Linked DNA regions of Drosophila melanogaster. The protein of the gene in region 1 interacts with the protein of each later gene in a pairwise test. Each region holds a gene or a part of one and is shown in the gene's direction. Other genes may lie near its edges.

What was found. Proteins that work in one complex are often made in the same cells at the same time.
Region 2: the proteins of BtbVII (region 1) and mil interact in a two-hybrid assay, tested with the Drosophila melanogaster proteins (one large-scale study listed by BioGRID).

Annotation. Positions count from the first base shown.
Region 1 is NT_037436.4:3,145,300-3,153,775, forward strand, and holds the start of BtbVII (BTB-protein-VII), read left to right. Parts: upstream 1-3,346; 5' UTR 3,347-3,388; intron 3,389-3,400; exon of another isoform or gene 3,401-3,438; intron 3,439-3,602; exon of another isoform or gene 3,603-3,622; intron 3,623-3,833; exon of another isoform or gene 3,834-3,861; intron 3,862-4,328; 5' UTR 4,329-4,683; coding exon 4,684-4,854; intron 4,855-4,915; coding exon 4,916-5,543; coding exon of another isoform or gene 5,544-5,558; intron 5,559-5,628; coding exon 5,629-5,873; coding exon of another isoform or gene 5,874-5,885; intron 5,886-5,964; coding exon 5,965-6,073; intron 6,074-7,155; coding exon of another isoform or gene 7,156-8,453; exon of another isoform or gene 8,454-8,476. Other genes in the region: Usp5 (ubiquitin specific protease 5), read right to left, coding at 202-2,171, 2,233-2,746.
Region 2 is NT_033777.3:27,908,119-27,915,835, forward strand, and holds mil (milkah), read left to right. Parts: upstream 1-4,328; 5' UTR 4,329-4,449; coding exon 4,450-4,682; intron 4,683-4,747; coding exon 4,748-4,871; intron 4,872-4,935; coding exon 4,936-5,164; intron 5,165-5,223; coding exon 5,224-5,309; intron 5,310-5,363; coding exon 5,364-5,543; 3' UTR 5,544-5,667; downstream 5,668-7,717. Other genes in the region: CG5003 (uncharacterized protein), read right to left, coding at 5,920-7,224, 7,278-7,439, 7,493-7,615, 7,674-7,717.

The DNA of each region.
Region 1 (8,476 bases):
TCTTATGGAATTATTTTTAGCTGCTTATGCGAAATATTAGTCATCAAATGATTCATCAATGTGAAGATTGCATATATCTGAAGCCCCCAAAAACCGATTGCAGCACTGTTTATGTACTTTATTATTAAATTCCATTCTTCAGGGCGAATAATATTAGCTTGTGGGACTGGGGTGATTCGGATTGGACTGAGATCGGGCTGGCTACTGTTCGCGCATATACAGATACAGATAGCCGAGGTCCTTGGGTGGGTTCTGCGACTTGGCCACCTTGCTATCGTTGAAGATCACCCATTCGCCCTTCTTGCGAATGTGACAAACGTAGTGTCCCACCTGGGCGGAGGTGCCCATGTGTGAGATGAATGCCACCAGGCGATACTTGCCGCGGCCATCGCGGTAGTTGGTCTTATTTGGCGTCGAGGAGGCCGCTGCAGCTGATGAATTCGCAGCGGGGGCAGCATCCTCAACACCAATTGAATCGGCGTGCGAGAAGATCCAGTCGGTGGCGCGCTCCACATTGCCATCGGTCGCTTTCAGAGCAGCCACCGCCTGTCTTTCGTCGAAGCCCATGCTCATGAGCATGGCCAGGCTCTCGGGATTGGCCACAAACTGGTTGGCGGCGCAGTCTCCAATGCTGTTGTTCGGCACCACAAAGGGCTCCGAGATATCCTCGTCGGCGATGTGCTCCATCAACCAGTTGGAGGCTGCCTCAAGTCCGCTGTTTTTGGTGTGATAGCAAGCACGCTTGCAGGCTTCCGGTGGAAAACCCATGGTCAGCAACTCGGACATGACCGCCTCGTCAAATGCAAACTTCACCTCCTCTGTGGCGGGCTCGGGAAGAGCCTCCTCACCAGGCTGCAAGCCACCAGCGGAGCGCCAGTTACTTAGATCCAGTTCATCGGGCATGTCTACGGAAACGTCCAGTTTCTTGGGCACCCAGTCGTCGCCCAGCGTGAACTTTCCCACGTGAATCATCAGGCAGTCGGGCATGGTGGCCAATCGCGTAATTTTCCTGGCATTCGTCTTGGACCCGATGGCAGTGGAGTAGAATTGCTCGATCAGCTCCGGGCCGAAAAACCTTTCCAGGCATGCCTGTAGAGGCACCTTGTGCCTCACGATGTCGCGATCCGGAAGCCGTTGTCCGGTCTCGCGGGCCGCCTTCTTACGCTCCTGGAACTCCCGCACCTCATCCAGATTGGTGGCCTTGTCCAACGGAACAGGCAGACGGAAGCTGTATTCCTCGCGGGTATTGTACTTCACCTTGTGGCTGGCCAGACACTCAACGCGATCCTCCAGCAGGAACTTTAGAGCATCTGCGGGATTTGTTTGGTTCCGCGAATTCCTGTCCAGCAGGGTGAGCAAATGCAGATAGAAATCGTTGGCATCTTGCTGCTGTTTGGTGCTGAAATCTGGGTGATTCTTGCCCACAATGTTCTTAAACATGGCCGGCGATATTCCGGTGCTGTGATCGGTGTCCAAAGTGTTCTCGGCAATACTGCTGTACTTTCCCGACTGCAGACCAGTTCCCAGCTTGGCCATTTGAATATTGAAGTCGTTGGCCGGGTCGCTGGGAAACTCTTTGAAATAGCGTTCCGCTCCAGTGCCCACGAACCGCTGCTGGAAGTCTGGGATGACGAAGAGCACTTGCATCACGCTGTTTATGTAGCAGGAGTTGCCCAGATTGCGCATGCCAGTGTATCCAGGACCAGCAACAGGCTGCAGCTCACTTTCGCTCTCCGTAAGCGCCGTCCACTCGCCGATGCGCTGGTTAATGTCCAACTCTAGCTCCACCATCGACTTCTCGCTCTTCTTCATCGCCGCCATGTTGATGCCAAAGTGGGAGAGATGGCGCTCTAAGTGTGGATCGAGTACCATTTCATCCTCCGGGTAGGAGAACACATCCGACTTGCCATCAGCGGTGATGGTGCCCAGTTTCACCGCCAGCGGGAAACCCGTTACTCTGTAGTGCTCCACGGCGTGATCGTTGCCGCCACTGCCGTCAAAGAACTTGCGTCCGCACATGATCGAACCATCGGTCAGATTAAGCCAGAGGTTGTTGGTCAAGTCGCACTTCTCGCACTGCCAGCCGGATGGGGGAATCCTCTTGCCATTATCCAGCTGCTGCAGGTTATCTGCGTACTTCGACGCCTGACGCACTTCACCATCCCAGGTGCCTGAAAAATTATTGATTTTAGGCTACCTTCGTCAGCATGGGATAACAATCCTGCAACTCACCCATCAGCGTGGCCTTCTCCAACTTGGCAATTGCCGAGTCGGCGGCCAGGATCGCTTCCACCGACTGGGTGACACGCATGGGCAGCTCTGGATCCGGATAGGGCAGCTTCTTATCCAGGTGCGGAGCCACCACGATGCTGTACGTGTCCTTGATCTCGTACTTCTTGGCCATGTCCGACTCGTTGTAGCCGCCCTCGACGCCAATGGCCAGGCGGGTGATCTTCCGTTCCGGTCCTGCCTCCGACTCCGCGCATTCGGCCTCCATGTCGGCGCCCTCCTTGATCGTCTTCACCCGCTGGATGTGGAGGAAGACCCGGTTGCCGGTCTTGTCGGCATACTCCCGCACATACGCCTCGCCGAAGCCCAAAAAGCTGTGCAGGCACACGTACAAACCGGTGGGCGTCTCGGGATTGTCATAGGAGTAGACGCACTCGTCCTTGTAGATGGGAGGACTGCCCGCCCCGGATGCGCATGGCACGTTCACCTTGGATAAATGCTTGCGTAGTTCCTCCATAACGGTATCTGGAATCCTGTAGGCAGCTCTTTTCTCATAAACTTTACGGACCGAATGTAAAATAGTATAGTTGATTTTTTTTGCAGCTGCTGCTTAGAGATGAACATGGGAAAATGCATCGATACCGGCGAGCATGGATATGCGAATATCGATGGGTTGAAATGGTGTTTTACTGGTTGAAATCAGCTTTTAACAATTCTTACCCTTATTTTTGTACCTTATAACGGCTTTTGAGTGATATTTACGTATTTGGCCGCCCAATAAGCACAATTAGTTTAATTTGACTGCTGCAGGCTATCGTTGTTTATTCAATACTGTCATCTCTAGCCAAAGCCAACAACAAATTCGCGAGTCACCAAGGGAACCGAACTGGTTCCGTTAAGTACGAACAATGCGGGGAAAGTGTGGCAACGCCGATTGTGATTCATCAGATGTATAACCGAAGTCAACATTTTAAAACAACAATTCAAATGTTAACCATTTAAATACAATAAACAAATTATTTTAAAATTTGGGACAATCTTTAACAATTGGGATACTAGTTTTGATCTAGGACTGGTCACACTATTAAGCGACCTGTCAACTCGTTGTATACAAAGTTGCCATATAGTCACAAAAATCTTTCGCATAAAGAAGTAAAACGTAAGAATTTTCATATGCGTTTTTCGCCAGGAAATCCGCATTAAAATAATGTAAAAAGTGGTAAAAAAGTTGGCGCAAAGAGTGAGCCAGTCAAAGGCATTGAAATTCAGCTCGCTCTAACAGTTTTCGGCGTTGTTTTGCCCCTCGCATAAATTTGTTGCGCGCCATTTTGTTTTTGGAAAGCAAAAGAAAAAGAAGAAATACAACAGCAAAAACCTACCACAAAAAGTCAAAGTTTGTAAAAGCGATAAAAAGCAAGAGGAAAAGGAATTCTGTGGGGGGAAAAGCGAGTGAATAACATGTGGCGGCTTGGCTAGTTCGAGCATCATCTTTGTGCCTCTAAAAGACATACGAAAATAACGCGCGACATGCACATAAATAAATACGACTGAAACACTGAAAACTGAAAATATCGATACGATGAATAAACGAAGAAGCAGCGATTAGTACGTCGTCGGCGGTCGTCTGTGTGGGTGAGAGAGTGAGGAAGACGGGAATGGGGAAGGCGATTAAGTGCGAAAGAGATGGAGGAGCGCGGGGCGCGTATATAATTACGTCATAAGAATTAAAGAAAATTCAAGGTCTACAGCACTGCGGCTATACAAAAAGCTATACGATTTCGTTACGTTCTCGGTTTTATCAAAAATAAAACTTTGGCCAGTGAGCAGCAACAACAACAAGTATGGCTGTTGTGTTCCAGTGTGTGTGTGTGTTGTGTTTCATTTTCGCGACTGTATAATTACATACACACGCAGTCCCGCCGATGTTGTTGTTTCTGTTTGATTTTTTATTGTAAGCGAGAAGAGCGCGCAGCTGTGAAAAGCAGATGAGAGAGAGAGAGGAAGAAAGCGAGAGAGTGGAATTTGTTGTTGAGCAATTTGTGTAACCATCGATAATGTTTGATTTATTTAAACCCCATTTTTATTACCCCTTTTTGCAGTGACTCGCGATGCGTGCGGCATAGAAGTCGTCGCCCCCCAAAAAACCGTGATCCCGACCCCCCACACGCACACACACATGTACAGACTGCGATTGTTCATAAATTTAAATTGATTAAAAGTCGGAGCGAAAAAGTAAAGCGAACAAAACACCGGAAAGCAAGGAAAATTAATAAAAATCAATAGAGGCGAGCGGGAGGCGATAAAAAGTGTTATCAGTGCGAATTAATTGGCTACGAAGAAGGAAAGAAGCAGGAGGCGGAGGAGCGGGAGCAGGAGGAGGAGGTTGCTCCGGAGATTGAGGTTTAGGGAGCTCCAAATCCGCATCCCGGACGCGGATCCGGACCCCTCGACATCATGTCCGTGCAGCAGTTCTGCCTGCGGTGGAACAACCACCAGCCGAACTTCATCTCCGTGTGCTCCTCGCTGCTGCACAATGGCACCCTGGTGGACGTCACCCTGGCAGCCGAGGGTCGCCAACTACAGGCCCACAAAATAGTGCTATCCGCCTGCAGCTCGTACTTTCAGGTAAGTTGGAGATCGCCGCAGCGTATATCCCTTACGAATTACACTCAAATGTGTTCGACAGGCTTTGTTCACCACAAATCCGTGCCAACATCCCATTGTCATCCTGAAGGACGTGCAGTACGATGACCTAAAGACCATGGTGGACTTTATGTACTACGGCGAGGTAAATGTGTCGCAGGAGCAGCTGCCGCACATCCTCAAGACCGCCGAGATGCTCAAGATCAAAGGCCTAGCGGAGATGCCAACGGATCCGGCCAATCTTACCAAGTCGGATAGCAAGTCCTCCACCGACGGCACCGAGATGGTGGGCGGTGCGGGAGTGGGCACTGGAGCGGGCAACTCGGCTGGCAGCCTGGGAGCCGGCAGTGGAAGCAGCGTCGGCGACTCCCTGTGGAGCAGCAGCGAGGCCCAACAGTTCCAGCAGCAGCAGCAACAGCAGGCCCAGCAACAGGCACAGCAGCAGCACCATCACCACCAGCAGCAGCAGCAGTTGCAGCAGCAACAACAACAGGCGCAGCAGCAGCAACAACAGCAGCAGCACCATCACCACCACCATCAGCAGCAGCAGAGCGGACAGGCGCAGGCGGCGCAGACGCATCACCACCAGATGCGACGTACGCCGTCGCCTTTGAGCGCTGGAACCTCGCCGGCCACCAGGCGCAAGCGCTTGCGCAAATCCTCGAATAACGGTGAGTTGGAGTTGGGTAAAGCATCGTCGTGATAGATCCAAAATTGTAAGGTCTCAAAAAATAACCGGTTTTCGTAATAACGCAGGTTCTGGCGATCGCAACAACGCGGAGGAGCAGCACAACAGCTCACTGGACGCGGGCAGTGGTGCCGGCAACGCCGGTCTCAGTCTCGCCCAGATGAACCAGATGACATTTGGTGCGGGCGGCGGCTTGGCCGGCCACTCACTGCACGCGGCTAAGCTGCTCAAGGAGTCGGCCAGCGCTGAGCTAGAGCAGCAGCCGCAGGACTCGGATCTTGACGATGGACACGGACACTTACACATGCAAATTGTAATGAAATTGGTCACGTTAACCTTGTACCCTCGTCCGCATGAGCAAAGTCACTAATTGTTTTCTTTTTCTTCTCGGTGCCCACGTGCAGAAGCCCGAAGTCGACATTGGCGGCGTGAACCAAACGATGCCCTTGGACATCTCCGGCGGTACCACACCATCCGAGCACGATGCGCCGAACTCCCAGTCCTCGCACTCGGGTAAGTCGCAATTGGAAATCAAAAGCCAGCACACTGTTCCATCAAAGCTCATTGTTCATCGGGTAGGGATCTCATTCGCCAGGTTGGATTCTTTTTTTTTATCGTTTCTTAGTTTTGTTTGCCTTGATTACTTTAAAAAACACAAATCACGGACAACTTAACTGCAATTCGTAGTCAAAAGAAAGCTGACACACTATAGACTAAGCAGGAGTCAAGAGGGAAAACGTGTATAGATCAGAAATGACTTGACTTTTTTGAAACGAGCATGACTGAAAGAACATAGCTTTACAATGTTGGTATCATTTGCGAACTGACTAGGGGTTCACTGAACTGATAAGCACTGTCACCTATGTTCTCTTAAGCAAATCAATGTGAAATCTGAACCACTGTGTACTCTCGATTCATCGAAATAATGCCCACAATCATACTTCATCTGCATATCTCACACACGAACGGTGCCATTTCGAAACAATTTCAGTACACAGCGCTTGGAGAAATGAATGCTAAAGCTAAATATGAGATCTAGTATACCGATTATTCATTACTGATTTACCGACTAAGTGCAACGAAATAATTGTGAAATGCCGAAATTTTCTATGTTTAACTATTATTGTGTATTGTATTCCAAAAAACCGAATCCTGCCTGAACTTGGGAATGGGAGAGAGCTAGCACAAAGTCCAAAACAAAAACTAAAACTTCCAAAAACTAAATCTATGATTTGTTTTTCAATTGTTCATTCTCGATTTGCGTTTACTTGCGTTTTTTTGATTTTTGTTTTGTGGGAATTTCCAAAACAGCGGTTTCCGATGATAATGATTTAGCCTTAGCAATCTTTCCTCTACTACTTACCTCTATTGTACCTATCTAAGAACTGCCTCAGAACCTATAAACTGTCTCAGTACCAACACAACTGAACTAAGATCAAACCTGACCTGACCAGACTCAAACAGACCCAATCCCGATCCATTAGAGCTAGGAGAGAGCGATCTCAACTTCAATTTCGATCGAAATGCCCCAGTAACCAGTACCAGTAACAGAACCAATCTTTCATTCGCTGTCTCTCTCTCTCTCCCCTTCCCAGGTCTGCAATGGACAGTTGTTGATTCCAACTATCCGCGCTTCTCCCTGCCCGCCTGCCAGTCCAACTTGTTGGGCAACGGCGGAGGCAGCGGTGGTGGTGCCGGTAGCCAGAGCAGTGGTGCGAATAGCGCCGGCGGCGTCAATAGCGATCAGCGGCAGCAGCACGAAGCCCAGCAGCAGGCCACGCAACAGCAGCAGCATCTGCAGCAGCTGCACTACCAGCAGCAGCAACAGCAGGAGCAGGCCTCTGCCTCCGGACAGGCCTACTCGTCGCAGATCATTACCGTGAACAACCTAGTCGGAAGCTATGCGACGGCGGCCCAGAACCTTTCGCCCACCTCGCCCAATGAATCAAACATGGTGCAATCGGTCTACAGTCAGGGTCCGACGCCCACCCAATCCCCCGTGCACGCAGGAGTCGGTGGAGCAAGTGCGGCTGGCGGAGCAGCGGGCAATGCCAGTGCTGGAAACGGTGGAGCCCCTGGAGCGGCCAACCAGGTGGTGAAGCGCAAGAGATCGGTGAATCCGCAGGGAGACGAAAACTTTATCCGAGCCCTGGAGGCGGTACGCACGGGAGGTATCGGATTCTGCAAGGCGGCACGACTTTACGGAGTGAACAACAGGACACTCTGGCTGGAATACAAAAAGCGTGGCTATCCGGTGTCACGTCCCAGCATAAAAGCGCGTGTGGTCAAACAGGAGCCGAATCTGTCGCCCTCGCCGACGCCATCGACGAATCAGGGCGATGACAACACCAACGAAACGCTCGGCATGCAGATACCACCACAGGCGGAGACTCCGACACCTTCGCTCATGTGCACATCGCACCACACTGGCCTGGGAAGCGGAGCTGGAAGTTTGCCGGCCGGAGGAAACTCGCACCCAGCGATCGGGGTGATGAGCCTGTTCGATCCTCGATACATGGATTCGCCCGGCAATGTGCACTCGATGACGCGGCAGCGTTACATCGAAGCCACCGGCGGCGGAGCAGGTGCGGGAACGGGCGCAGGCACCGGCACCATCAACGTTAATCCGACCACCGCCATGAATCTACAGAGTATTAACTTCAACTCAATATAGAATACGATTTCGAGCCAGGCGGGGACGGCCACTCTGCTCCAGGCAGCCGCCGTAATGGCCGCCAGCGAGCCAGCGGAATCCCTGAGCATATCAGCCATGCCCGTCTCCGTTCCAATGGGCATGGCGCACAGTTTCCTCATCAACAACTTCGTAACGGTGGCTGCACCGCCGGTGGCCACGGTGACCAGCACGGGCCTGCAGTACTTGGACAAGTCGTAGGTCCGGACACCGAGCCCCCAAAT
Region 2 (7,717 bases), on another chromosome or scaffold:
CATGATTGTTTTCATTTTAATCTTGTTGTTTTCCTAGCCGCTTCTTTGTTCTTTCAATTGTTTTTTTGTTTTTTTTTTTTGCTTTTTGTGCGCTTTTTTTCATTTTTATTTGCTCTTTTATATGCATTGTGTATACGATTTTTCTTTACATCGAACCTTTGGCTATTTGCATTTAGGTTTTATGCCCTTGTTTTTCCCGCTTCTCAGCGGCACTCCTCATCATCATCAGCGGGAGTTGGAGTTTGGGCTTGGGGTCGGTGGGAAACAATATCGATGGGGCGTGCTAAGGGAATTTACATGGCGTTATGGCCCTTTAAAGGATCGCATCGTTTAACTTTTGTTTGCTGCTTTGTGTCTTGTGACTTGGCCCACGCTTTGTTCAGCTTGGCACATTGCAAATTTGCATGCGAAAACAATGAAATTCATTGGTCCTTGGCTTGGCTTGGCTGCCCGGGCGGGGCAGCTTCGTGTCTTATTGAAATGTCCTTCGTCCTGGCAGGCCTCACCAAATACCTTGAACATCAGCAGCAGCAGCAGCAGCAGCAGCAGCAAAAGCAGAATCTACAAAATGTAATGTCCTTAATGACATTGCCAAAGGAATTTTAATTAAACTATTTCCTGCCTGACTTGCTCGCCGGTGCTGTTGGCTGTTGGCACTGGGCGTGGCTAAGGCTAAGCAGCTTCAAATGTGCACAAATATTGAAATATTTATGGAACCAGCACAAACACATGAGCTTACAGTCGAAGAAAACACTACCTCGAATGCATTTCAATAAGGCAGCAGCCAACAAGCAGCTAGCCAAGTGAGTTTGCGACATTGATTCAATGGAAATTTATTAAAATTATGAAAAGAGAGGATGTTTTTTGTTTTTAGCAGTGCAGCAGCATCATGCCCATCAGCAAACCGAAACGATCCAAGGCGAAAGCCAACCAAATCTGAACCCAATACGTTGCCAGCTCTGGGCCGTAATGCAATTTTAATTTCAGGCAGCAGCGCAGCAGGCAGGCAAAAGTCACGGGGAGGTCATGTGCCATCAGCTGTGCAGCAGAAAGAATAAATGCCCGCCCAACCACCCAAGCACCCAACCACCCAAGCACCTAACCACCCAGCCAACCATCCACCTTGTCGCGTTCCGTTTCCGGCGGGGCTGCCATCATTTCCGCTGCTCATTTTTGACTGACTGCTGACAAATTTGTATGTCTTCGCTTTATGTTGTCGTGTTTGTCTTGTTTGGCTGATTTGATTGTCGAAATGCTGAGCAATTTCGATTGTCATTGTCTGTTTTGCTTTTCGGTTAGCAATCAGCGGCGAATGGGCAACTTTAACGTGCCTTTAAGAGGTGCCAAAAACGAAGCATAAATTTTGTGGCAACATAGCCGCAAGTTTTGCGCCACCGAAAACTTTGCATCAATATGCAGGAGTTGGCCCGTATTCGTGGGAAATGCAGCCATAAGGAAATGTCATTATTACCGCGCTTGCACGCTAATGAAGCATGTAAAATGTCAATGTAGTCGTATGTACACCTCACACACACACACACACAAACACGCGCACGCACACACACACACTCCCTTCTTGAAGACTTCATGTACACACAAACGCATACATATGTATAGATGGGCGTCTGAATTTGTGTACGAGTTGGGTTTCTAGTTTTATTGCAAATGTGTGTAATGAATGTAAATTAGTAAAAAGTTTTCAGGCGGCGGAGGTGGTGCGGGGGTGCGGCGCCGAGGAAGCGTTTGCCAAACTATCCTGCGGCTGGCAAGGATCTGCTCCTTGTGCTGCGCGTGTGTGTGTGTGTGTGTGTGCTTTATGAATAGCATTCGAATTAGGATGTCGGGCAAGACGAAATGCAGGTGTGTGGTTGTTAATTATGAGCAACTAAGCTACCATTTTATTGGGACACTCGAAAAAAATGTGCAATCTTGTTGCCACCAAAATATTTATTGTAATTGTATTAATAAGCTGTCAATCAAATTTCAAATTCACATTCGCCGAGCAGCAGCAAGGATATTTTTGGCGAAAAATACGAAAAGCAATGACCCTCTTAGCCAATTAGTTGGCTATGCAAATTAGACGGAGATATTTCGCAAGTTTTCCAGCTGTTAATTATCATTTAACTAATATCATTTAATGGCAAACACAGCTCTGCACTTTGAGGCATTAGGCGGGGCCAAGTAAAAAACTTTCAACTTCTTTGGCTGAAACTGAAATGCACGGAGAACGGTGGCAACCGACAGCTGCAACTTATTAGATGCGTTGTCTGGTTTATGCAAAACCAAAGGCAACACTGGCCCCTGTCCCTCGGTGCACCAGCCACTCGCGTATCCTAGATCCTGGGAGTTCTGGCCACCACCTAGTTCCATTTAAAATAAGCAAAGCAAACTAACAAAATTCGTTTATGAACGCCATGCTGCCTGCAGCTCAAGGAAAGTTCAACCAAGGTGCAAAATAATTTGTTGCAATCAGCTTAGCCTGGCCAGGATTCCGAGGATGCGATGCCCTTCGCCCGATGCCCGATGCCCGACCAACCAAAAATGGTTAGTGAGTGCCATGCCCTGCCATGGTTGCGTTTCTGGGGCCGGGCAAGTTTTCAATTTAAGTTGAATTATTATGACCTTAATTAACACGTCGTTTCATCATCAAATGCCGCACTACATCTTATGCTTTTGTTGCAGATATTTCGGCATGGCGCCGTTGCTTCAGTTTCAGGAGCAGGTGGAAACGTAGGAGTTCCAGGCTGCCAGGTTGCCTGGCTCGTGGATGAGGATGTTGAGCTCCTGATTCGATTTTCTGCAGACATGCACTTTTGCCAGGAAGGAGCTGAAGCAGGAGCTTTAATCCCTGCGCCAAGTAACTGTTGCTCCGGTTGGTCGGGCTGCGCCAAACCATTCCATTCTGCTGGGCTCTACTAATTTTGGTTTTAATTAAATTCAAACTATGTTGACGCTCCCGGCACTGACGACCTCCGACGAGCGGCAATCACGTGGGTGATGGCCATGGTCCCCATGTTCCTCCAAATGATCCTGATGATGCTGATGATGATGGGGCTGCTCCATTACTTATGTAGCTACATTTTATGCACCGCCTAATTGAATGACCGAAATGTAAATTGAAAATGCCCGAATAGCTTAAATGGTTGTGCACTTGAAGAGTCCTTGATTAGTTGATCTTGATTAGTTCCCAACTATCGATTTCCATCTCATTTGGATTAATACCTAACTATCTTGCATATTCCATTCCTGCTAATGATAATGACGTGAAATATATATACATACCAATTATTTTGCACAGTGCAGGCATACACTCGTACAAATGTGGAAATTGGCCAGCCAGAGCCGTCATCATCAGATGCCTGGCTGCCTTACACTATTTGCGTTATGATTTCTTTTTAATTTCCCAGCGGTATTTAGGGAAAAAATTTAATAATATCAAATATGAGAGCAGCGAGTGGTGGATGTCCTGTGGAGACTGGACAAGTGCATGTGCCGTGTGTCGTGTGTGTTTGTATTTGTGGGCAAACATTCAACAGCGCACAACAATGCGATCTCCCGCTTTTCCCGCTTATCCTCTGCGGCTTTCATTTGGCGGATGTGTGTGTGCGTTGTTGTGTGTGTGTGTGTGTGTCTGGACTTCCGCTTGGCTGAATTTGTTTACACTTTTTTTTCGCCCGCCGCCACTGGCCCACTCATAATTTCATTTTGAAATGTTTGCCTAAGCGACAATTTCACTCTTTTTTTTCACTTTTTTCTGTTGTTTTTCACAGCCGGACATATGGCACTAAGCCTGGCCCACATTATTAAAACCAGCGACAAAAGACAAGCGACTCTCGGATAGACCAGAAACTGGGTCCACGGTCCATTTAACAGACTCCAGGAGGCGATGGCGATGGCGATGGCGATGGCAATGGCTGAACCTGAACCCTTGGCGGCACAGCACTCAGCACGTGATTTGCATACACTTAGGCCAGGCTGGCGGCACCCAGTCCAAGCTTTTGGCCCACACTTAATTACATGCCAAATGAAAAGTTGGCGGAAGCAAACAAAAAATTTTGGGGAAACCAAAAATATATAAACAGGAAAAGAGCAGGAATTAAATGTGCGTTAAATTGCCAATAAACATGGCCTGCATCTCAATGGGCAAAGTAAGGCGAAAGGGGTGACTAAAACAGCAATAACACGAGGGTTTAAAAATGTAGCTTAAAAAAAAAGAATAATAAATTGCTTAATATTTTCTAGTACATCTAGTTAGTTCCAGCACTTTAGTGAAAAGCGGGCCTTGCCTTTTGTGCTGGGAGTTTTGGGAAACTGATAGAGCTACTTTTCATTCCCACAACGGCAGTCACAGCGAAAACGCACACGTCCAAATTTTATACTTGAACAAAACCAAATCACTTCAAGAAATATTTTTTTTATTTTTCTTTTGATTATCGTGTCGAAACATAAATGGAAACTGTGCGAAATCGAAACCCTCCGCGGATGAAGTACACCGCTCCACCGAAGATGGAATCGGATTTAAACTTCACCGAGAAGGAGAAGAAAACTCTTACCGAACTGAAGCAGCTCTATTTGGAGACCATTAACCTGGATGTGGCTCTGCAGCGCGACATTTACAATATCGAGAAGAAGTACGAGGATAAGCACAATATCATATTTGATAAGCGCAAGAAGATTCTAGAGTAAGTCCATTAATGGTGTTTGGTTAAACAAGATCTCAATTCCCCCAAAAATCCCATCGGTGCAGTGAGTTTAGAAAGCAAAACCACGGCGACGTGGAAACCAATCAGAGCGTGCCCAACTTTTGGCTGAGGGTTCTCAAAGCATCGTACACCGAGTTCATCAGCAAGAGGGATGAGAAAATATTAGAGGTATGTTATGGATAGATCCGATTTGAAGGATATTTAAATTTTAATTGAAATTTTTCCCGCGCAGTGCTTAAGCGACATCCGTTCTCGGCTGTACAACGAACCCGTGGTGAAGTTTGATATCGAATTCCACTTCGATCCCAATGATTACTTTACCAACACGGTGCTGACCAAGACATATTTCCTCAACTGCCTGCCGGATCCAGACGATCCGCTCGCATATGATGGCGCCGAGATCTACAAGTGCGAAGGCTGCGTCATCGACTGGAAGCAGACCAAGGACCAGACCAAAACCGGTAAGCCATCTGGGAGCATCAAATTTCACAGATGTTAGTTGAATTCACTCATTGACCAGAAAATCAAGAGCCGTCGTTCTTTGAGTTCTTCTCGCCGCCGCTTTTGCCAGAAGATACCCTTGACCCCAACTACTGTGACGTCAATGTAAGATTGAATATCAGCGATCTGCGATCCTTTCACATGCATCTCCTCCCACAGGCTATGCTGCAAAACGATTTTGAGGTGGGCTTCTATCTAAAGGAGCGCGTGATTCCCAAGGCGGTGATCTTCTTCACCGGCGAGATTGCCGATTGTCAGAGCTCCAGCGGATCGGAGACCGAGTCGGAAGATACCGAGGACGAGTCGGATGCCGAAGAGGAGGATGGCGTCGACAAGTAAACATTTTACACCGCTTATATACAGTTTACATACATTTTTAACTCGAGTCACCGAACTATTGGCCTGTCCTTACCCACTACATACCAACCAAATAAACATTTCATTATACATATTTACCAAAAGGATCTCGCGCGCTCTTTTTAATGCCTAGCTAAAGGAATTGAATTGTGGTTTTGATTTATACAGTGCGTTTAGCCTGGCGTGTATATATTACAAGGACTCGAATAGTCAAACGTAATACTAGATGGCTGAGCTACAGCACTCGCTTGTAGCCAGCGTTGTGGATCCATCGGCTTGGCCATGTCGTCTTTTTTCTTAAAAAAAAATAAAATAATCCAGCACGGCCCACTTCGACGGAATCTTTACAAACAATATTCTAAGGAGCCACCACCTCCTGTGGCGGTGGCGATTTCGGTGGCTGCTCGTCGTCGGCGCGCGGCGGTGGCTGCAGCATCACCACCACCGTGTCATCCTCTTCCTGTGTCTCCAGCTCCGGAAGTCTTTCAAACTCCTCCAAGTGATTGGCGACCACTTCGCATTTCGGTTTGGAGATCTTGAAGCGCCGAATTGCCGGAAGCGTAATGCTGGTGCCACTAACATCGATATACACCAGATTCGGAGAGCACTGCACCAGGTGCTCCAGGGTATGATTTGTGATGAGATGGTAGTTTCGCAACGACAGTCGCTCCAGTTTATTGTCTGGCGAGCGATTGATGTTCCGGATCCAGACAACGTCCGGTTGCACCGGTCGATCAGCTCGGCCAAAGCTATACATCGCCCGATCGGTGACATAGTATTGAGGTGTTGTCTGACAGGAAGGCGGACGTGGGCGCACTCGTCGAGCATAGTCGCGATCCAGTGGCTCGAGCATGTTCCAAAACATCGGATGCTGAACAACCTGATCGTAGTTCGGACGCGGATGCGTACGATGGCGTCGCGTCGGCATCAGAACATTCATCGGGAGTGAGAATTGTTGATTGACATAGATATACCGTTGCTCCGTTCCCTGCGCAAATACGGCCACAACACTACGCTGTTGGCGCGGGTTAGCGTTCTCAGCGTCGGGCACGTAGATGTAAGCGCGCGGGGGTCTAGGATCCAAGCCGGGACTCTGCCCGGGAGCCTCGATATTGGCTGCATCAACTGCAATTGGTGCATCGGCTGCATTGGCTGCATCGGCTGCATGCGGAAGTGGCGGCAAGTCGACGCCTCCGCTCAAAGGTGCAGCGTTGCTATGACCATTTCTGGGCAACGATAAAACCTCCAATTTGTCCGACGAAGACCCTGAGGTGGATGATGTGTCCTCATCATCGGATTCTGATGGTGCTCGTATTCGTTTCGCCTGAAGATCCTGACCCTCCGAAGGAGGCTCAGTTGGCACCGGCGACTTCTCCTCCTTTCTATCGCTGCAGTTGTCCAAATTGAACGCAACCTTGCATGCACGCAGATGCTCCATGGCGGCCCGCGATGTGGACGGCTCGTCATCGCTAAGCACTTTCAGTGAATCAGGCTGCGGGGAAGCAGCTTCGTCAGTGGCGTTGCCGTTGGTATTTTTTTTAGCAACGGCTTGTTTGGAGTGCAGGATCTGTGGCGACTCAAGCAGCAGTTCCTTGAGATTCTCGATAGCGCTAAAACACTGCAGATCTGAGTTGTTGATGGGCGTCTGGCGAAGATCTAGTGACTGAAATAAATAACCCTTTATAAAGAATATTCGCCGATTGCACCTATGCCAACCTCTAGTTTTTGGAAACCGAAACGTGCCGCCATGCTGCCATAGGGCACAAACTTGCATAGCGCCTGACAGCCCTTAAGACTAAGACGCCGCAAGGAAGGTAACTTCGACAGGCCCATAATATAATAGGGCTCGAACCAGCTGTTGTCCTCAATACTGAGATCCTAAATAAGACGGGGTTAGGCTATTCATTGGACTGTCGTTCGCTCAAACTCACCTCTAGATCAAGCAGATGCAGCTCTATGGAGTAAAATATGCTTTTTGGCGTGTCGCCGACCCTAACGCTACAGTCCTTTAGCTTCAGACGCCTCAGAGTGGCCGGGAACTCAGTTATGTGTATCTGAAGAAAAGATAAAATTGGGGTAGACCAGGGAAACTTGCGAGATGCCAGCACTCACGTATTCGAAGTCCAGGCTGACGCCCTCCAGCTCCAGCACTTTAA